Linked DNA regions of Yarrowia lipolytica. The protein of the gene in region 2 purifies or fractionates together with the protein of the main gene of each other region. This does not show direct contact. Links are inferred from orthologs where the notes say so. Each region holds a gene or a part of one and is shown on either strand. Other genes may lie near its edges.

Region 1 (12,505 bases), on a different chromosome or scaffold from region 2:
TTAGTCTCTACACGGGCAACTTCTGGGGTCGTTTATTGTCCTATTCTCTTGGAAGGAGACGCTACTTGTTCTTCGTTCAGATCTAAGCACTGTCATCAGCCATACGAGCAGTCTAAGAAACTACTGTAGTTATACTAACGAGGTTGATGAATTCAGTAGACACCGGCGACTATTGAGTCTCATATCTTTTATTACTCGTCCATGTACTTTGATCTCCCTCACAATTTTCTCCCTCAGTTCCACCGAAGGTTGAAGTTGAGCTGCATCCTTGCATAAAGATACAGATCGAGAAATATCCCAACAGGATGATGTACAGTAATGTTCAGTACAAGGACTGGTACAAGTACATGATGTAGTCGGTTATATTACTTCATGAACGTCAGAGCAAGCCTCAAGATCTTCGTTCATCCACTGCCAGTACAGTAGGAGTAGAGGTAACTACTTGCATACATACCTCTCTACATACTGTAGAGGTAGGTATGACCAACCAATGACAAGCACTTAGCCTAAAAAAAGAACACTACAAAAAAATTGCAGCACCTACTGTAGGATTCTCGTATGGTCTCCCACTACAATACTAACTAGGCTCTCTGGTGCTTGACTATGGCTGATCGGACGGGAAGCCGTATTTTCACCAGGATATGGCTGCAACTGGCCGGTAACTCGGCTGCTTAGTCACCGTTGCAAGGTCATTGTGTAACCTTGGGAAATGTAGAATAAAAATAAAAAAACTAGTAATGGATCATAAGAATAAAACAAAAAGCTATACTTGTACCTGAATGACTAGATTATACAGTTATGTGTTCCCTCGATTTTACCAACCATGGATTCATTATATTTCATTTTTATTAGTCTAAAATGTGCTTAAAGCTCATGATCGTAAGGGATACCCTCAGCAGCACCTCGTCGAGTGACAGCAATACCACCAGCCTTGTTTCCGAAAGCAATGGCCTCGGAGACTGTCTTTCCCTGGATAATGCTAGTGGAGAAACCTCCAAGGAAAGTGTCTCCAGCACCAGTAGTATCGACAATCTTCTCGACCTTGTTAGAAGGAACATGTCCAGAATCAGTCTTGGTCTTGTAAATGACACCGTTACCTCCCAGAGTGACAACAACGGCCTCCTTGATTCCCATCTTGAACAGGGTATCCGCAGCTTGGTCAGCTTGTTTCCAGATCTCCTCCTTCGATGCCTCCTCGTTGATTTCGACGCCAGAGATGAGAGTGGCTTCCGTCACATTGACCACGAGGAAATCTATGCTGTTGAGAACGGCGGCGGGGATGTTACCTCGCTCGTCCACAGGACTGGGGTTGTAGACCACTTTGGGCTTCTTAGATCCAGCCTTCTCGATGGCCTTGTAGACGATGTCGATGGGGATCTCGTTCTGGAAGATGAGCATGTCTGTGTCGAAGAGATCGTCAGTGAGATCGGCCTCAGTCCACTCGCCGTTGGCTCCGGCGTAGACCATGATTCGGTTCTCTCCAGAGTCTTGATCCACAAAGATGACAGCCACTCCAGACTTGGTGTCGAGCTCGTGGATGGCAGACACGTCCACGCCAGAATCCTTGAGGTTGTTTTTCAACTGAGTACCGAAGTTGTCTTTGCCGACCTTTCCGTACATCTTGACGTTCACATCAGGGACCTTGGAAGAGAGTCTGGCAGTAGCAAGAGCCTGGTTGGCTCCCTTACCTCCGCAGTGGGTCTCAAAGCCCTGGGAGAACATGGTCTCCCCAGCGTTGGGGAGTCTGTTGGAGATGGTGACAAGATCGTAGTTGAGCGAGCCGACAATTGTGATTTGCATGGTTGGTGATTTGGGGTCAGAAAGAGAGTTGTAGTTAAAGATAGGTGTTTAAATGAAATGTTTTTCCGAGAGTGAGCAAGGACCAAACTCAGGGATGCAGATGAGATGTGAGTGATGGAGGTTTAAAGTCTAAAATAGCACAGAGAGGGAAGAGTGACATCATAGGGTGCGAGCTGGAAAAAAAAATCAGAACATTTGGTTACTTGAGCGTTCTAACGTTGCAATATAAGACAGGTGATTCTATAAGTACATGTTAAGTCACGCCATGCACCCCACATTCTGTACAAGTATGTACATCCGTAACCGGCAGCCCATCGCTGGTCACTCCCAATAGCCGAGGAGTCATGCGATCACGTGGCTGTTTGAACATGAGAGTGACAATGTTGTCGTTCAAGGTATGAAATAGAGATGCCAGATATCCAGACCGGGCCCAAAAAGAACTGTAACAGCTACCGCCCTTGTCTTTATATTTCATAAGTGTCCTTTTTTTGCATAAGAGTCCAACGATGATGGCCCTAGACGTTCAAACTAAAATCCCACAAGTTTCAACTACTTCTTTCAAGGTTACTTGGAAAAGGTATTGTAATAATGGAGATATCTGAGAGCAGATTTCGAGTTTTTTGTTGTTGTTTTTTTTGAATAGACACATTCCAAGCACCCTCGATATTTTTATATTTTTTTGATCTCGGTTCTTCCGTTTCAATGTCAATATTATAACCATCATGTTGTTCAGTATGTACAGTATGTACACCCCTCACCTACACATGACGAGCCACAACTAAGTTTACGTCGAAAATATATTTCGTATCATGCACAACGCCTGAAGAATCTTTAATTTACACTGAACGACACACAACATGACGAATATGGAGCCAATCACATACCCTTCGGAGGTATTTTCGAGACTTGTGCCCGATCTATATCTACACAGACATCTCAACCAAGGATTGCGACCAGCTACAAACCGAGCCTTCACACAACACCGAAAGATCAACCACTTTTTGGGCGGTCTTAAGAAGCCCGTGGGATCCGACGAAAAGTCTGCGTCTCTGGTTTGGGGCTCTTCGTTGATCCAGGCCGATGGAATGAGTATTGTGTGTGGTGTTACCGGATCTGTGTCTGAGGAAGAGGGCGGAATCTTTGTTAACGTCGAGGTTCTGCGAGGAGCAAACGGAAGCAGTGCAGCAATGGGGGGGCCTCCCAGCGACGAGGAGCAGGTGGTGAGCCGAAAGACTACCGATCTGCTCAAAAAGGGCATTTTCTCCTGCAAGGCAAACAAACAATTCTTCGAGCTCCAGAACTTTCTGAAGGAGGGACAGGAAGACGAGGCCGTGTTTGACGCTGGCCAGCACCAGAAGCGATACCTGTGTTTGCATGCCAATGTGACTGTCCTGAGTCGTAACGGACCTGTGCAGGACTACGTATGGGCTGCTGTTCTGGCTGCTCTGAAGGATACAGAGATTCCTCTGATGGAGATTGATGAAGATACCGGACGAATCACTCTCACCCACGACTTTACCACAATTCCGGTCGACGACCTTGACATTCACAGCAGTCGGTCGTTCGGGTTCATCAAACCCAAGCCAGAGACTGATGCCTACGAAGACGACGAGATGGACACCTCTGAAGATGCTGCCAGTGTGCTGTTAGCAGATGTCCAAGGAGAGGTTGAGCAGGCTGCCACTTCCAGCACCCGTGAGGGCTCTCGGCTGCAGATTGTGCGTGGCCGGGAAGACACGCTTATTGGATTTTCTTTTGTGGGCAAGGGTACTGGAGTTGGACTCAACGAGATTAAGAACGCGTTGGATCTGTCGAAGCAAGAGTAGATGGATATAAGCATGTATAGACTAATTGGCGGAACTAATGGTACTATTGTATTGTGCTTGTGCTACATGTAGAAGAAGTCTATAGAATAGCATACGAGTGCAAACACTCGCGGATACAGTACTTGTTTTAGACATGATAAAAATACATTACTGGTGCTATCAATTGAGGTATCCCTTGCAGCCAGGTGCGCCACACAGACAGGGAATCCTCTCTTCTCCAATCTCCTTTTCGAACTTGTAGTCATATGTGAGCTCCTCGTTGGCAGCAATGTCCCGCGAGGCATAGATGACGATACGTTTTTGACCCTCCACCTTGATGATTTTGGCCGTGCAGCTGGGGGTACAGCAATGGTTGATGAACCGAGCAATACCTCCTCGCTTTGTGGCGTCCACGACAGTGCTTTCATCAACTCTGAACAGATATGAAGATCCGATACCTGACCTCATGTACCGAGCTTCTCGCAAGTCGGCAATCTCCTGTCGCACAACTTCTCCGACGTACTCGATGATCATCTCGTTGGCTGCAATGGGCTCAATAGCATAGAGACCCCAGTTGTGGATAGCTGAACGAGCGAACTTGACAGGCTTCTTTCGCTTTCGCAGCTGATTGAAGTTGAGCACATCGGTTTCGGTGGACAGCAGCTGTTTCTGCATGTTGATGTCTGCCACCAGCCTCCGGTTGTTGGCACGGTTAACTCGCGAGTTGGAGGCGTTCTCCTTCTTTTTCTCTCGGTTTTCCATTTGAAGCGTGTCGATGGGGATGTTGAGCTTCTTTCGGTGAGGCAGGTATTCGGATTTGGCAGCCTCAGGGATCTTGAAGTATCCCTGAGACTTCCATGAGCCAGTGGAGTTAACAAACGCGTTGGGAGCAGCCAGTTCGGGGAACTCTGCGTTTTCCTTGGCTACAGCCTCGTTGAGATGTTTATGGGTCCACGTCCATGCTTCTCCGTTGATCTTTTCAGGCTCAATACCCTCCAGGGCCTCCTGGAGCAACTCCATATCTTCGTCGTCCTTAACCAGCGCCTGGAAACCTGATATGGTAGTCAGAGCACCACCCTTTTTGTCGGCTGTTACAGGTTGAGGGAAACCGTGAGCAGGAGCCCAGTCGAGAATCTCGCCGAATGCAGTTGTAAGTTGTTGGGAAGTATCGAGAGTCGATGCTTCTTGGAGTTCCTCCTGCGCAGTTTCGTCCTCTTCTTCTTCCATATCATCCTCCACTTCCTCCTCTTCCTCGGACTCATTCGAGCCTTCAGAACTGCTGAAGTCCATAATTCGCTGCTTGGACTGACTGATCTTCTTGCGGGGTTTTCTAATAGGAAGTTCGGCAGCGTCAGCGGAGGTATCAGGGACAATGGGAGTCGACATTCGAGTGCTGTCTTCCTCATCCGAGTAGTAGTCGTTGAGAACGTGGTTCATGGGACGAGCAGATATCTTCTTTCGGTTCTTCTTGGTGGCATCCTTCTTCTTGGTCGGATCACCCTTTCGCTTGATTTTGAACCGAGGAAGGAAACCTGGGATCGCAGAAGACGATTGCACAGGCTCGGGAGTATCTACTCGAGCGGCACTGGCGTTAACAGTGTTGGGTTCAGTAGCGGCAGATGGCTCAGGATCCTGCTTGATATGAGTAAATCGAGCTGGATTCAGAAACTCCACAATGGCTGCAGCAATTACCCGCTCCCGAATATCCTTACGGAGACTATTGGCCAACTCCTGTACGATGAGTTTCCGGGCCTCTTCCTTAGGAGGGAGCTTGGGGGCCTGCTCGGTGGCGTTTTCCTCGCTCTCTTTGGTCTTGGGAGCAACTCGAGAAAGTCGAATCATAGCCATAGCCATCTGGTGGCCATTCACCTTTCTGCCATTCATGGCCTCGTAACATTCTACAGTATCCCTGTTGTTGTCGAAGAAAACGTAGAAACCATCTCCTTCCTTGAGAACATCAAACCAGCCGAAGTCACGCAGAATCCGACGAATATCAGATGCAAACACTTTTTCTGACGGTAGGTACTTACCAGCAATGAAGATGTATGCGCTGGTTTTCATCAACTGCGCTGCCTTTGGAGATGGCCGAGCTGAAGGAACAGGTGTGGGCAGTTTCTCCATGATGGACTTGTCTGCAGCAGGTGCAGTAGGAGGCTGCTTGACAGGCATGGCTTTCTTAGCTGCTCGAGCTGCCACTCTTTTGATGATATCCTTGGCCTTGGCTCCATCCTCATCTGGCTCCACTCTGTACTTGGCCTGGTCAATTCGTCCTGTTTTTTGGCCTCGGATGGCCTTTTTGAGGCACTCATGGGCGGCCTCGTAATTGTTTTTCGTCACCTTGAATCGAACCAGACATGCTCCCACTGAAGAACCTGTAGCAGGGTCCTCTACCATGTTGACGGCTTCAAGCTCACCATATGTCTTGAAATGGGCAGTGATAGTTTTAGAGGTAGTTAGTGAAGAAAGACCCTTGACAATGATCTGAGTTGATGGAGGTGGTGCGATAGAATTTGCGTCGTACTGTGTTAGTTAGTGATCAAAAGGAAAACCTCCATTGTGCTAGATTCAATCGCTTCATACTCACCAGAAATCTGGGCACCGGTAATCTCTGATACGGCTTTTTGTTGGACTTGCTGGAAGTCTTGAAATAATGCGGATGTTTGCTTCGAGGATCCTCAGTTGTGGATGCTCCTTTTTTGACCTCCTCATAAATGCCTCTCTTGCCTTTTTGTTTATCCTTGGAAAGCTCGGGATCGTAAGTTAGTCTTGTGTTGTTTTTCCTGCCCACTGTCTCCCACACTTCTTTGGGGAAGGTTTTGAGCCGTGGTGGAGAAGGAGGAGCTGGCGGTTGAGAGGTAGGCAGATCCGGTTTTCCGTTGGTGGGGGTTAATCTTGGAGTTGGAGCAGTCTGAGGTGTCGAGATTACAGATCCCTTCTCCTTGGTGTCTCTGTCCCTCGTGCCTCGGTCTCTGGTGTGCTTGTCAAAAGATCTATCGTGTCTGTCGTTTGAGCGGTCTCGGTTTCGTCCATCACGTAGTGGAGGAGGTGGAGAACGGGCAAGCTCTCTAACACCGGTAATCAGATCCCGGTCTCTGGAGAACAGATCTCTTTCTCGCACTAGCTCTCTCTCTCGCTCTCTGGGAGGCATATCACGGTCTCGAGAGGGCAAAGGATCCAAGGAATGTGGTCGGTAGCCCTTGGGGTCTCGATCACGTGGGTCATGATCTCTGTCACGAAAATCCCGATCTCTGTCTCGATCACGTGCATCTCTTTCGCGGTCACGCGGGTCCCGATCTCGATCTCGGTCTAGGTCTCGTCGGTCTCTATCCCAGCCACGCTCGTCTCTCGCGTAGCGGTACTCACGGCCTCCCCGAGGTGGTGGGCGAGTATCCCGAGGTGGAAGACGTCCGTAGTCTCTGGAATCTGTGTCCCGCGCGTCTCTTGATCTGTCGTAGTCGCGGTCGCGACGAGGAGGATAGTCATGTGAGTCGAGGCGGTCATACCGATCGTACTTGTCGTACTTGTCATACTTGCCGTACTTTCCACCGCCGTACCGGTCATAGTCCCGTGGCGGGGGGTAAGCACGATCATAGTCTGAGTAGTCACGGTCCGTACGGCCGCCATAACTGCGGTCTTTGGAAAAATATTGGTCGCGGTCCGAACCCCGTCGGTCGGGATGTGGGGGCGTTCGAGTGTCGTCCGCACGAGCACCACGAGGCCCCTTCGGCACGGGCTTTGTATCTGAGCCGTTCGCCATCCAAGATTTGTCTTTTCCGAGTCTCGTGATGAGCGTGTGGGGGATCCAATTTAGTCACTGGACGTGGTGCATCATTATTTCCATTCTATGAACCTTATCAGTTAGTGAGGAAGGGTAGGCGGAAAAACTACGAGTAGACTACAGTACGAGTAGTGCAGAGGAATATATTCGAGTTATATAAAGTCGTTTGTGGTAAAAATACATGAATGGACTAATTGGGCTATTATGAGGAAGATGCAATAGATACATTCGTGCGATAAAGAGGCGACCATAATTACACGTCGTCTTGAACAATCATGCATTGTTAATTAGCGTACCACAAGTAGTACCAATACACTTTATTGTAAATAATCACCAGAAAATCGAGACTACAGTATGTACACATACTACAACACCTATACTGTACTTGTAAGTACATCATTCAAAGAACAAAAACTTGTGCATGGAGTTCGATATACTTACTACAGGTATATACGGTAGCAACAACTACAAATGTTGAGCCTGTCAATATCTATGCATTTCTTTCCTTACTTGGTTCGAATGTGTTTGAGCTTGCCGTAAGAGTGGACAAAGTTGTTGGCGTACTGCTTGACACGGAACTTTCGGTGGTGAGGCTCCTGGATGTAAAAGTCCCAGCCCTGCTTGTTGGCGAATTTGATGGCAGATTCCTTGCTGGTGAACTTCATCTGTGTGGCCTGCATGTAGTCGCCGGAAGATTGCCATCCGATCAGATCGTTCTCCCATCTGTTAGCAACGTCGACAATGTCCCAGTCGAGTCTCCAGGCAAAGGTTCCTGTTGTTAGTACGCGTGTTTGGATAGACGAAACCAGTTCATGTTCAGGTGACGGTGTGTGCTTTGACATCATGAATAATATCAGAGTATACCTGAGTATTTAACATGGCGATGAAGAAAAAGACAGAGACATGACAAGCACAACAGCTTAAACAGTTTTGGTTCAAAGCCATACCCTTCCGTCCACTTTTCCTTCCTCTGTTAATCCCTCCTCTTTACTCCGTCTCAAAATCTTCATATCAACTCCACCCTTTCATCTCAAATTCTTAAACGAATCTGTAATACTCACCGTACTCTCCGCTCTGAGTGGCGGGCTTGGCCTGCTGGTAGATTCGAACGACTCGGTTTCGAGAAAGCTCAGCAGGAGCTCCGCTGACAATCTCATGGGCGGGGACGTTGTCGAGGTTGACTCCGACCTCGGGGACATCCTTCTTCTGGAGGAGTCGGGCGGAGGTGGCGAAAGATCGCACGGAGGGCTGGCTCAGCTGACGGAGGCTTCGAGACAGCATTGTGTTGTGTGATATTTGGTGTCTGGTGGTATAACGATTTAGACCTTGATATTGCAGTTGGCTAATAGCATGCGACATGATTGGTTGGCTGGTGGGTTAGGGTGCGCTGGGACTGGACGAGCTTAAAATAATATCGAGCATCTTTTTACTTGGAAGTTTTAGTTGAGAAAGTTACTTGAACTGCTCGTTGGGTAGCTGAAAAAAAAAATACCGATGTGTTGCTGCAGATACTTGTACCAAATATTCATTATGTTATTACTATTTACAGACACATCACTGTCGAGCAATCTCCAACATCTTGGCAACATTGTTGACCTTTTCTCTGGGCTTACCTGCGGCATCACCCTGGCTGTGTTCATGGGCCTCCAGCTTCTTCCACTGGTCCCATGAAATGGCATCCTCAAGATACTGGGTGAGGTTATCGGAACCAGACTTGGCACCATCAAGCTTGCCGGCGGTTATATCGTCGGAAATAGCCTGTGCTGTGTCAAATGAGTCTGCCATAGTGGTGGCAATCACACCGGTGGGTCCGTTCTTGACCCATCCTGCAGCGTAGACCCCATTGTCAGTTACTCGGCCTCTAGAAGACGGAATGACGCTTTTTCGGTCGTCAAAAGGAATGCCCTCCAGAGGAGTAGATGCATATCCGATACTGGTGAAGATCAGGTCGGTGTCGAAGCTCTCGGTAACACCAGTAGGCTCCACTCCGATTCGTCCAGAGCCGTCAGCAGAAACAAGTTTGTTTTCCGTAGCGATAAGAGTCTTGACGAGTTCGGGGTCGTCGGGGTTCGCGATCACCTCCTTGGGTGAAAGAAGGTAGTCTAATGACCATTGTTTGAGGGTGGATGCATGAGCAGGGTCCCTCTGCTTGGCCTTGAGATTGTACTCCTCGATGAGCTTGACAATTCGAGAAAGAGGACGCTTGTAGCTCTTGTGGGCAGCTAGCACATCGTCCCATTTCGTATGAGGAAACGCGACAAAGCCTGTATCGGGCAGCTTGAAGAGTTCTCGGATCTCCTTGATTGTGAATGCAGACTCTAGCAGTCCTCGTCGGGCCATGATTCGCACCCGCTTAACCTTGGACGTCTTGAGCGTCTCGTACGCCTGCTGTGTGATATCTGTAGACTTGAGGTGGTCGAGAGGGGATAGCAGGATGCGAGCAATATCCAGAGCCACGTTTCCGTTTCCCACAATTGTCACTGTTTCGGCCTTGTGGAGAGGAGGGTTGAGACTTTCATGCTCGGGGTGACCATTGTACCAATTGACAAACGTTCGTGCAGAAATGACACCGGGCAGGTCCTCTCCGGGAATACCTAGCTTCCTATCTGTATGGGTGCCGTAAGATAGAACCACAGCATTGTAGTTGTCTCTGAGCTTGGACACAGGTAGGGTGTCTCCGACAGTCACGTTGCCAAAGAACTGGACACGGGGGTCGTTTCCAACCTCGTCGAACGTGTCCTGGCAGTTCTTTACCTCCGGATGATCCGGTGCTACTCCATGTCTAGCCAGTCCGTAAGGCACAGGCAGGCTTTCAAAAAGGTCGATCTTGGTGTCTGGCTGGAGCTTGAGCAACCGGTGCGCAGTGTAGAAGCCTGCAGGGCCTGCTCCAACGACAGCGACACGAGGAGTCGATCTGAGAGTCGATAGGTGGCGAACTGATCGGATCATGGCGGGGCTGTCAGAGGTCACTATTTAGATGCATGATCAGATAAGCTTACTTGAAAGTGCTTACTATGGTGTGGCGGCTACAAGTTGACTGATGACACATGACTCAACAGGCTGATAAAAAGCTGGCGGTTGACTGATGCTGCCAGTATATGCCTCCCAATGGCTAATATACACCCTGTTCAGATTCTCACCACTACAATCTGGTTTCCCGTGAACTACTTGTACTGTATAAGTACAAACACTATACCGATTCTCGTTAAAGACTGAGCATGTACATATACACAGCCAATTGCAAGTGCATAACAGGAGATTTAAATTCTGAGGCGGTATTTTTGGACATGTACAAGTGCCTGTACAAGTATTGGCAATCGCTTCAATATCCTTTTACACACGCTCTATATATTGACAAGTACTTGTACCCATATATCTCCTTCCACGCGACACTCGAATTGGTCGCACCACAAGTAGCTAATTTACCCAGGGGGAAGGCTCACCCAATTTACAATCACCCTTGTGTTCCCCCGACGCATGACGACAGGGAGACAGTGAGTCTGGAACCAAAATTGCAACATACTTGTCGGCTATGGCACGTGGCGGGTTATTAATATATAGAACCAAAAAGCCCACTTGCAGAGAATATTTCTGGGTCTTCCATAAAGCCTCTTTCTGGGCCCAACAAGCCGCTCTTCGTCCCAGTAAACCCTTACCAAGACCCGGTATAAGTCCGTGTCCACATTTCACACACTTCCCAATTGAATCATCACCACACAACTCTCATTACTTACCCCATAACCTTTGGTATCACACAGCACACCACCACGACCACATGTCACCTATAGAGGAGCCCAAAAAGCCATTCAATACTCAATCTCAGTCGCTGGCGAACTGGCTCAAGCAACAAAAGTCGGATACTGCACCCTCACTACCCCAGCCCTCCAAGAACGTCGCTAACAAAACAACTGCCACTGCCGCATCCACAGATGGCTCTCTCAAGATTTCCTCTTCCGGCCACTTCAAGCTGGCTCCTCTCAAGCGGGACAACTCGGCGTCGCCCAAGCCCACCCAGTCGCCGCTATTTGGCTCACCCGCACAGGGGGTCTGGCGCAGAATAGCATCTCCGAGAAAGGAGGAGCCGGTGCTGGCAGTGGCTACCCCAGAGCCCGAGCAGCAGAAACAAGACGAGCGCAAGGGATCCATGAGCGACCTACCCGAGGAGGAGCTCGTCAAGCTGGGCATCCATCTGGCCCAGCGACACAGACAGCCCTCAGCTGATGGATTCAACTGGGCAGAAGATGACGACATTGAAGACTGGGCAGACGATATGCCCGAGGCAGCCACAGAGGTGGAAGAGCCTGCGGAGGATCTGCCCAAGGTGGCGACCGGATCGCGACCCACACAAGCATGGAAACCCATCTCCACGACAAACTACGTTCCCATTGATCAGCAGCTCAAGGAGTACGAGGAGAAGAGAGCAGCCCAGGCTCAGCAGACACAGACAAGCTCGAGCCGGCAATCACTCTTTGACGACAAGTGGAGAGGCGGCGATAGATACGGAGGAAGCGACCGGTATGGGAACGATCGATATGGGAATGACCGATATGGGAATGACCGATATGGGAACGACCGATATGGGAACGACCGATATGGGAACGACCGATACGGAGGAGATCGTTACGGAGGAGATCGCTACGGTAGTGACAGGTATAGTGGTGGCGATCGTTACGGTGGGGGAGATAGATATGGAGGTGGAGACCGTTACGATCGACGAGGGAGATTGTCACCTGAAAGATCTCCGTTTGGAGCCATGCGATACGACTCGTATGATCGATTTTCCAACGACTACAACCCTCGCAGAGAGCTCTACAACGACCAGAGTGGAAAGGTCGAGGCCATGGAGAGTGGGGACGCCAGAAACTACAAGCCGTCGGGTGCCCGCCGAAGTCCCCAGATCACTCGTGCCGAAATGGCTTCGCCTAGAAGCACACATGTGACTCCTGCAAGTCCTCGAGGCTCTCCTGCTGTCGCTGACACTTCCCCTGCTGCTCCTACCGCTCCTGCTACAGCATTAGCGTCTCCAGCTTCTGCTTCAGCGTCTCCAGTTGCTGCTCCTTCCCAGCCTGCCATGGATGCTGCTGCCGCTCTTCTGGCTCAGCAGGAAGAGACCATGCGTCAA
Region 2 (10,726 bases):
AAGACAGCTCCGGTCATGCCTCCGATACCTCCCGCCACAAAATGGACCCAGGGCGAAACCTGGACCACCTGGTCCACGGGCGTCGCCTTGTCTTCCGAAAGCCGCATCGCAGGGTATGTCGCGGAGCCCTCGTCGCTCTCCAGCGTGCTCTTGGGTCGTACGTAGTCCTTCATGGTAAGTGACGTTGAGCAGTTAATCTGGAGATGCAGGATCTTTTTTTTTTTTTTTTTTGACCGAGTTAGTTTAGATTTTTTCCGTAGGATTTTTCACCGCTTAGAGTTTGGAGATGAGAGAGATCAGGGAAGGAAATGTTGGCCGACGAAGCCCATAAAATAGAGCCCTTAACAGAGAAATGTAGTCACGTGACAACCGTGAACACGTGTTTTTAATCCATGTCTTTGGTCTGTCAAATTTCCGTTTTACGCCCCGATCGATCACCATTCTATCCCTCCTGCCAAGCCTTGCGGTTCAGGAAGCAATCATCAGACAGACGTAGTAAGCGTAGGTAAGGGGGAGGGGCTGAGGGATGTTGGAAGGGGTTATGAGTAAGAGCGAGATATTGGAATATTCTAAACTACAGATTATGAATGAACATTTGTCGACAATGCGAAGAAACCGAGCCCAACCGGCTATATCAGGGTCTGTACTCGTCAGTATAACGCAGCTCCAACGGCCAAGCAGGGAAGAAGTTTAAAAGCGAGTGGAGCAATTTTGATACGGGATGGAAGAAGATGGATGGATGTCATGGGACCTGTTCTGCCATGTGTATTTCTGCTGTCACGTGACACGAACCTGAATATGCCAAAAAAATCACTGCCGACGAGCTTTCATCGGTTCTTTTTCGGGGCTTTTGCAACCGGTACTTGTACATACTGTACGTTACTGTGTGTATCTATAGTATGCTCAGTGGATGACGACTTTCCGATCTAAATGTGGGTTTTCGGTTTACCGAGCTCCAAAAAGCCGGGAAACGGCGGTTGATCTTGCGGGATATCCTCATATTTGCTCCATTTTGCTCCACATTCTCTTGACAAGTTGGAGAACTATTTCAGATGTTTCAGAAATTTTCATTTTTTTTGCTCGAAACTTTGACGAACCGTGGAAAACGTTACTGACATGGTGGAGACATGGAGAAAACGCCAGGCGGTAGATCTGGATCTAGAGAACATTTTGAATGTGCGAAAGCTCTGGGAATCTTTATGGAAAACGAGATGAATGGGGCAGTTGTCATGATCACCAGCCAAATAAAGTTAACTTAGACTCCACTTAAGCCTTTGTTGACAGGGTCTATTTGCATAATCAAAATTACGCCCTAATTGGGATGTCTGCTGAAGGGTGAGCGACAGGCCCAACTGGATGCTGGCGGGTGGATGGTGGAATGACGGCGACAGGAGAGGGGTGTAGTAGGCTATAGGCGGTTATAGGGGGGACATTACGATAGTCGGTTATTGATAGACTAAGTGGTTGTCAGGGTTGCGGTATTGAACCCTTGGAGAGATTGGATGGTAAGACGACTGCTGCTACTAAACCCACTCTGTTCATAACCTCTCTTATGGTGGAGGGCTGCGATCAGGTGACCAACTGTTCAAGTGGCTCGCTGTGTTTTATTACTCGTTCTGTACTTGAGCAATGTGTATATCATGTATATAAATTTCCTGTCAGGTCTCTATATGGTGGTTATTGATGGTCCCTTGGATTGCCAGATTTGAAGTTGTCCAGAATACTTTGGAAGTTAGTTGGAAAATAGTTGTTGGGAAAAGTCCACTGGGGGTTCAAGATGGAGGTTCCCGACGTGGCACAGATATATGGAGTATTTAAAACGGCAGCATATGTTGAATATTTTTGAAACTAAACAGTATTGATAACTTTTCTACTGATTTTCCAAGTTGTCTTCGTTATGGAAACAATGGTGTTTATATTTTAGTTGGATTTTTACTTGACTACAGGCGTTAGATTTGGGCGGGAATAAAAGGGGAGTATATTTCGAGCAATATATATATTATATAATATATATAACACCATAGTCTCTATAAAAACTAGTCCATTCCTCTCTAATGGACAGAACTGGCCATGCCACCTGCTCATTAGATTGTGAACTACTTGTAGTGGATAGAGTGTCAGCAGTATCCTGGCGTGTCTCAATGGTAGACATGTAGTAATCATCTGAACGAGGCTCAGGCTTGAGGGGTGGTCCTTAAAGATTGCCAGTGGTAGACAAGGCCATAAGTGGTCACGCCAACATGTACTGCAGATCATGTACCAGGAACGACGGAGAGCTGCAATACCTGATAGCACCGGTGGTCAGCAGGTTGATGATAAATGGTTTTCAGGAGATCCTAACAGAGCCAGAGTGTAACGAAACAGCACCGTTGACCTTGACTCTACCTCGATAGCTGTGGACTAAGTACCAGCGATTTTAATCCGGACTCGACCAGGGACCAGGTATCTTGCCCAAATCTTTCTGGTCTAGCTTGGGTGACTGGTTTCCCGTCGATTTTGAGCGGGCCGCGTCTAACTTCGCCGGACGTTAGCTGCCAGACTACATACAACAGAGGGGCGGTTGAGTCGCCAGTCTCGATTTGTTAGGGGGGAAGTAACGGTCTGAGAGGTTTCGAGTTTCGGATCCGGAGATGACTGCAGATCGACTCGGAACCGGGCGCCCTGTACCAATGGAATGGACTGGGTGAAGGTCCCTCTGGGGATCCATCCGAGTGTTTCAGCCCAACGGCTCTCTGCGACAATCCCGAGTGCGGGTTCGACATCTTTCTGGTGAGCACTTTCACCACCTCAAGAGTGCCTTCAAAGCGATGGCTCTTCCCTCTTCGTAGACCGGCTCAGGGTCGTCAAAAACCATGTGTCGGAGAGTCGGGCCGTGGTATCTGAGCAACGTCTCCTATGCCACTTTCACCGAATTGCCGAACGGAGACTGCAAATGCGAGATGTTACTCCAAGTTGACTGGCATCTCTCGAACTCGTACCACAATCGACACGGTATGTTCCCGTATGGCAACCTCGTTACTTGTCTTACTATAAATCATCGCCTATTGCTCATCTACTGGACATTGGTTAAGTATCGCTTCACTTCACTCACTTCACTCACTTCACTCACTTCACTACAAATACTGGAGTCTCCTAATAAGATACAATTTTATTATGTCACTCTCGACCGCTTAGATGAAAGTCTCGTAAGCAAGAGGAGCAACGGTGAGAGGGTAGTTGGTCTCGTCGATGGCAAGGGTCTTGGCCTCTCGGGTGGCGCCGGGCTGTCGTCGGAGCTGGACAATCTCGTTCTTGGCCTTGGCCTCCTTTCGCTTGAGATCGTTGGCCTTGACTCGGTCAAGGAACTCCTGTCGGCACTTGGAGTGCTTGATGTGCTCGATTCGGAGGTTGATTCGCTTCTCCATGAATCGGTTGCCAACAACCTTGTTGATGATGACGCCAACAGCGGACTTGGTCACGTTGTAGACGATTCCAGTTCGGCCGTGGTAGAACTTGTGGGGCATACCCTTCTGGATGGAACCGTTGGCTCGGATGTCAACAATGTCTCCAACCTTGTAGGTCTTCAAGTAGACGGACATGGGGATAGTTCCGTTCTTCTTGAAGTCCCGAGAGAACATGTATCGGGTTCTGCTTCTGTATCCGTGACTGAGTTAGTGTGAGTCGGTGGTGTGGTTTGACAGACAGACTGTCTGTCTGGGCTGAGCTGAGCTGAGCCGAGCGCGAGACATAGAAGGCACTCCGGGCACTGGATTATCGGAAGAACACAGGCTTCTCCTCGATCCCATGGCCTCTCTAAAACAACGTCCCATAATGCCCCCACGCCTAGCCTCCCGAGTCCGCTCTATTCCCAAACGCCCACTTCACCCTGACAGTCATACTGCCGTCCGTTCATCCCTCAAATCGCAAGAACTTACCTCTTACCCATTGTTGATTATTGTCGTTGACTTGCAAAGAAAGAAAATCAGAGCGTATTTTCCTTTTGGTGAAATTGTTTGTGCAGGTTGGGAGGGGCGCAAATAAGGTTCCGGTCGGGTGTGACTGTTTTTTCAAACTCAGACTAATGTCACGTGATATTTTGGGAGACCACCGAGGGCTACTGAAGGGATAATGGTAGTGGGGAGGAGGCGAAAAACGGAGTGGAATGGTTCATGGACGCTTTGTACGGATGTTACAAAGATTTTCAAGTCGTTATTACGTTTCTGACGGTCAAATAATGGAGTCTAGTATGACCACAGAATTCAACAGACAAATTTGGGTTTCAGGGTGTTTCCCGATTTGGAAGAGATCCCAAAATGCCACTCAATGTGGTATCAAGGGGTGATGGGGTGAGATTATGAGGTCTGAGAGATAGGAGATTGATTCTAAATAGGAAAAAGTGCATATATCGGTTTTTTTGAGTGGATTTTGGACCGTTATTGGGGGAGTTGAGATGAACGGGATTTTAGTTGATATTTTATTGAAGAATCTTATTTTAGTGGGGGATATTTGTTGGTGGAAGAAAGGGAGGTACTTGCTACTTGTAGCTGGCGAGAGAGGGAATTCTGGAGATACTTGAAGTCGTATATTTGTTTAACGACATGTATTGGTGGATATTCTGGGATTTTATTGCTCACAAATCATGTATTTGTACCACTTTGTGTAGTGCTATTATTGGCAGTACGTTTTACCGTATCGCAGGCATGGTGCGACTGCTGGGCCACCCTTCAGGTGTGCCTGGACTGGCTCTTATTAACTAAGGAGGAAGGCCAGGGATTTGGAGCTTCTACCAGAATATTATATGACGATTAGGAATGTACAGTGAGAATTTCAGGCAGATCTGGGCACTATGAGATGTAGAGATTGGGCAGTGGTTTTGCTCAAGTATTGGTTGATTATGTTAACAAATTATGAAGTAAATTATCTGATTCTGCCAACTACAGATTGTAAAAAAATACGAACAGATCCAATCATCGAAACTTGTAGAGTCCAGAACAAGTGACCGCAATGGCCCTCTGCTCACAAACGGAACGTAGAGATTATCAAACATCACCATATCAAGAGTGAGCGTTGTGAGCATTGTGAACATGAAAAGAGCATCAATAACGTCCATCTGAGCCATTGGGATGGGTACAAGTAGGTACCTACGTACAATCACCGGCACCGACCCAAGTTCAAGTACTTTTTATGGCTCTGCTGTACTTGATTGAGAGACATTCCAACTCTGTTTAACCGTCTGTGGAACATTGAATCACTTCTCGGCCCCCCAGAGCGTGTCTGACTACTCTAAGCACCGTCCCGTATGACTCTGGTGATTATTGCAGCAAGACTCGGTTTAGCAAGAGTATGAGAGGGTTAGTAGCCATCGAGACAGATGGAGTGCCTGCCAGTTCTGATGGTCAGAGTTGTCTTGCCAACAATGAACTTGACCATAATCGATCTGACAGTCTACAGTACTTGTAGTCTCCACTTACGTCTACTTGAATTGGGCACACTAAACATGCATTTTTATTAATCTTTCGATACTTTTTGAGCTAGAAAAGAAGAAGACGATTACTCCTCGTCCTCCTCCTCCTCGGCGTCCTCGGAGGCACCCTTCTGGGCGTTCTTTCGCTTAACTCGGCCGGGTCGTCCTCCTCCGTAGGGAGAGTTGAGGGCAAAGTCAATGTGCTTCTGGGACTCGAGTCGAACCATGAAAGAAGGAACGTTGACAATCTGCTTGCCGACTCGGATGTGTCGCTGAGAGATGAGCACTCGGGCGTGGTGGATGGACTTGGCCAGACCGAGCTTGAAGACCTGGGTCTGCAGTCGTCGCTCGAGGAAATCCTCGGGGGAAAGAGCCAGAACGTAATCGAGCTTCATTCGGTCCTCGGGAAGAACACCGAGTCGAACCAGTCGTCGGATCAGAGCGTTACCCTCGAAAAGTCGCTTGGGGTCCTTCTCGTCTCGGGTAAGCAGCTCTCGGGCAGCTCGTCGGATCTTGGACAGCTGGAGACCGATTCGGTAGATCTCTCGCTTGTTCTTGAGACCAAACTCACCGTCGAGCTTGAGCTCGGCATCGAGACGAGCAGACTCGTAGGGTCGGTTGGGGGTGGAGGCGGTCTTGGAGTAGGTTCGGGGGGCTCCTGTTGTTAGTACTGAGCGTAGGAGGCTGTAGGTCGCCGAGCGGACCCACCATAGTGGTGGTTCTCACACGTGACCCTTCACCAGGTATTTCGATTTGGTATCACTGTCAAACGTCGGGGTAGTAGTAGTAGCAGCAGCAAACGATGCTCATAATCACTCTGGCTGGAGAGATTGTACCGACCGATATCGACCGATACAACTCGCCCAGCTGAACAACCATGTAACAAATAACCAACCCCAGTCAGTTATAATGACAGTGACAGCAGTTCGTCATAAGAGTGTACTTACGAGGCATTTTGAGATTCCGTGTTGTCGACTGGACTAAGATGAAAAATGCAAGTTGGGAGTATGTAGGGCCCATGAGTCGGTTGGAAAAGCAGTCACATCATGTGACATGCATAAAGTTTAAACGATAGATGGTAGTGACGATGAGCCCGAATATGGGCGAGACCAAGTGTAATCGTTCAGCGATGTATTTGATGGGATCGTAGCTCATCATTTGGATTGAGTGAATTTATGCCCAAGAAATTTCTCAATTAAAAAAGCTCATAATCTGTTATTACAAGTAAGGTTTTAGATGGAGAGAAGTTTATTTTGTCATAATCTGTGGGCTGAAAAATATCAATATAAAAAAAACAAATAAAAAAAAGGGTCGTAGGTGATTCTACAATAAGGCGTTTCGCCTCATCAATACCGCCGCCGGGTTCGTCACTTTGCCCGTTCTACTCGCCGTGCTGACTATTAAAGTTAATCATCGCCATATTCAATATTCTGCCAGTTGACTCCCAAGACTCTCGACAAAACCAACACATCTCGAAATGGAAGAGGAAACGGGCCCCAAGGTGACCGTGCGAAAGATCGAGCCGGATTCGGTCGATCTGGTGCTTCAGAATGTCGATTTAGCGTGAGTATTACGAGGGCCACACGGCCTCTCGGCGGATGTTCGACGATGGATTGAGAGAGGAGAGAATCGTGTTGTGGGGAGATTGTGCGGGAGACACAGACGTGATACGTTGTGAGGGGTATCAAGAGACACAGACATGATGTCATGTGATGGGAGCGATGTGTGAAGGGGATTCGATGAGGTGGCAAGATGAGATGGTGAAGGAGAAGGTGGCAACTTGATGGATGCCAACTTGATTGGTGGAGTGATTTGCTGCTGAATGAATGTGACTTTCGAGACTAAGGTGTCATTTGGTGACTGTCAAACAAGCAATGGGAGGACGATGTCTACGGTCTGATTCTTGGCCTGGGCCTGGTTCTGATCCTCGTTCTTGTTCTGTTCGGATGATATGTTAATGTTACTCTAAAGATGACCATGAGTTCAGTTGGAATCATTCTTCACACTACCCCCTCGAAACTACTGCTTCAGTGTCGATACCATATGTCAGGCGGGGTCTCCTTAGACATAGACTGCGGTACGTCGGGAGAGCGTGGAGACTGCCATCACGCGCTCTATCAGACGAAGTATTCCCAGGCATATCAGACTCACGCGCTACCCGAGGATATCTTCGTGTAAGCCATTCAACAGATACATTCCACAGATACATTCCACAGATACATCCAACAGATACATCCAACAAACTCAATCCAACTTTTCTTACATTTAACGGGTCCTCCCACTCTCACCTAGATCTGATGCCGTTTAATGCGAGCCAGACTCACCATGACCTCTACCTGACGCCCAGGTATATATACTGAAGTTGCTCCTGGGTTACCACGGCTCATCATCTGACTTTGTTTTGCTGAAGTTCAGCTGAACCCGTCTTTCCATCAGGCGTCACTGTTTAGGTAGTTTGGACCCAAGACTGTCTTTCCACTCGCTGAAATCGAGAGACTGCCTCGTCTTACGTGTTTTTGCCTGAAATGACAGGTTTTGTCGGTCTCTGGAATCTAGTGTTGTTTCAATGGGATGATATCATCACGTCTTCTGCTTCGCTCAAGGAGAAAACTTCCTGTCTGCCTAGGAATCACGTCCGTCTCTGAGTCTCCTCACTGGCTCTCACTGCTCGAAGCGCAAGTGTTCACTCTTACTAACCCAGCCTTGCCAACTCTCTCCGACGAGTCATGCTGGCCGAGATTCCCACGCTCGCCATCGACCTGGTCGAAATTTCCACAAACACCTCCGTGCTCGCTGACGAGTTCATTTCACACCGTCTGGGTCTCATTCCGCTGGACTCCCAGGACGTGAACGATCTCGAGTACAGTCGAGACTGTGTTTGTGACGAGTATTGCGACAAGTGCTCCGTTGTGCTCATGCTGGACGCCACGTGCACTGGCGACGACACCATGGACATCTACTCCCGTGATCTCATGGTGCACACTACCCCCGAGCGGCCCGAGCTCGGCAAGCCCATCTACACGGACCCGGCCAAGAAGGGCATTCTCATCTGCAAGCTGCGTAAGAACCAGAGTCTGCGCATCAAGTGCATTGCCAAAAAGGGCATTGCCAAGGAGCACGCCAAGTGGAGTCCCTGTGCGGCCATTGGCTTCGAGTACGACCCCTGGAACAAGCTCAAACACACCGACTACTGGTACGAGGAGAATGCCGAGGAGGAGTGGCCTCTGAGTAAGAATGCAGACTGGGAAGAGCCTCCCAAGGAGAACGAGCCGTTTGACTACAATGCCAAGCCCAACAAGTTTTACATCAACGTGGAGGCTACCGGCGCCCTGACGCAGTACGAGGTGGTGCTGCGAGGCATGCAGGTGCTGCAGAAGAAGCTGGCTGAGGTGGTGATGATTCTGGGCGATAGGGACGGCGCCGGTGGTGCTGCAGGCCGAAACGGAGGCCAGACTCAATATGGAAATGAGACCCAGTACGGAGGAGGAACCCAGTACGGAGATACTCAGTATGGAGGACCTACGTTTGGAGGTAATGACGAGGGATTCAAGTCCGAGTATGGGACCAATGGAGGGTGGTATTAGAGGAGGGAATATGAGGACCTAGTCCCTTTTTTGCCGATCCAGGACAGATATCCTGGAGAAGTTTCGAGTGGGAGAAGTCATTTCAGTGAAGAGTCGAGCCCCCCACCATGGCAAACTCCGACGAGGAGATGGATAGCATAGCTGGAAGTGTGGACCCAATCTATCTCAGGTACAAATGTCTGGGTCGACTGAGTACTCGTACAAATATTGGAGGAATGTGTAACTATAGGAAAATTAATTATTACAAGAATGCGATGTTTGTACCGACAAAGACTGCTTCTATTTCGAGTTTTTGTGTGACAAAGAAAATGACCCGGCTCAGAATTGGCAGCGCTTCCCGTTGATAGTCATATTATATAGAAGTACAAGTATTCTTAAGTACATACTTGGGTCTACTGCCGTCTGTTCTAGTGTCCCAACCAAACTCAAGTAGATGAGAGATGTTCAATTTGCTTCAGACGGCTCCAGTCGCATTATTTATATTGTAATGTACTGTTTTGAAAGGTCTTAATGATAATTCCATCTGGGGGATACATTATGTGACATTTTATTTTTCTCTGGGATGCTTGGAACCCTGGATTGGAACCCCCAGCGGACTTTTTCCTTAACAAAAGTTCAACTATAGTACAGTATGTACAAGACAACTGTGGAGACTAGGACACACCACGATCGTTCTGCGCGGAAGGCATACTATTGGAGTTGTAAATATGTTTGAATGTGCTAATACCGACACTTGCCATTATTCTATTCTCATTCTGGAGCTACTTGTTCAGTTGTTTTTTCCATCTTTGTTTCCTTTTTTTCCCCTTTTTTTCCCCCTTTTTTTCTTATTTTATTTATCAGACTCTACTCTACTCTACCCTCCTCCATTGGTGATGCTTGCACTACTATAACAACAACCTAATGAAAATCGTCTAAACGAATTCATGGAAAAAAACGCCCCTCTTCTGACACTCCAGTACCGCTACTGGTCTCTTCGCGACCGCCTCCACATGACCACCAGATGCGAGCGTGCAGCTACTGCATATATGCAGAAATAAATATCTTTTTAATGCACCAACTTTCGATCCTCATCACTACAACTACAAGATGGCGAAAAAAGAAACCAAACACACGCCGCTGACAAAACTCAAGTTCCAGGACCCCATCTTCGGCATCTCGTTCCACCCGGAACAACCGCGGTTCGTCGTGGGCTCGTCCACAGGAACAGTGACGGCATACAAGTACAGCGTGGACCCACAATCCGCTACCTGTGGAGCCCCCGAGGTGGTGTGGACCACCAAGAGACACAAGGGTAGCTGCCGGGCGCTCATCTACTCGGAGGACGGCTCATCTGTCTACTCCGTGGGCTCTGACGGAGTAATCAAACGAGCCGATTCCCAGTCAGGCAAAGTGCGAGCCAAGAACACAGAGTCCCTGCCCTCCACGCCGTCGTGCATCGTGCGATCCGAGGCGTACGTGGCGGTTGGATGCGAAGACGGCTCGATTGTAGCGTTCGACAAGACCAGTCTGGCAGAGAAACACCGGGCCGAGGGAGCCCATGACGGAGAGTGTGTCAACGCTCTGCTTGAGCTGACTCATCAGAACAAACACTCGTTTGCATCGCTCGGCTCAACTACCGCCTGTGTGGTCGACGTGCGGAAGGGCGTCAAATCCACCTCCGACGACCAGGAAGACGAGATTCTGTGCGGAACCATGG

Evidence for each region. The genes of interacting proteins can lie anywhere in the genome.
Region 1: the proteins of YALI1_F08292g (region 2) and YALI1_B19520g purify together in Saccharomyces cerevisiae (affinity purification with mass spectrometry; 3 studies listed by BioGRID, with this or other methods). This does not show direct contact. The link is inferred for Yarrowia lipolytica from reciprocal best matches to the Saccharomyces cerevisiae genes RPB3 and SET1.

What each region holds. Positions count from the first base shown.
Region 1 is NC_090771.1:1,946,922-1,959,426, reverse strand, and holds YALI1_B19520g (uncharacterized protein), read right to left. Parts: upstream 7,363-12,505; coding exon 6,190-7,362; intron 6,126-6,189; coding exon 3,786-6,125; downstream 1-3,785. Other genes in the region: YALI1_B19576g (uncharacterized protein), read right to left, coding at 865-1,800; YALI1_B19567g (uncharacterized protein), read left to right, coding at 2,658-3,626; YALI1_B19507g (uncharacterized protein), read right to left, coding at 7,890-8,155, 8,445-8,664; YALI1_B19490g (uncharacterized protein), read right to left, coding at 8,938-10,332; YALI1_B19485g (uncharacterized protein), read left to right, coding at 10,916-12,505. UniProt on the Saccharomyces cerevisiae protein: Catalytic component of the COMPASS (Set1C) complex that specifically mono-, di- and trimethylates histone H3 to form H3K4me1/2/3.
Region 2 is NC_090775.1:822,365-833,090, forward strand, and holds YALI1_F08292g (uncharacterized protein), read left to right. Parts: upstream 1-6,920; coding exon 6,921-7,006; intron 7,007-8,144; coding exon 8,145-9,027; downstream 9,028-10,726. Other genes in the region: YALI1_F08225g (uncharacterized protein), read right to left, coding at 1-173; YALI1_F08260g (60S ribosomal protein eL21), read right to left, coding at 3,171-3,645, 3,915-3,925; YALI1_F08284g (40S ribosomal protein uS4), read right to left, coding at 5,530-6,101, 6,391-6,397; YALI1_F08324g (uncharacterized protein), read left to right, coding at 10,117-10,726. UniProt on the Saccharomyces cerevisiae protein: DNA-dependent RNA polymerase catalyzes the transcription of DNA into RNA using the four ribonucleoside triphosphates as substrates. Component of RNA polymerase II which synthesizes mRNA precursors and many functional non-coding RNAs.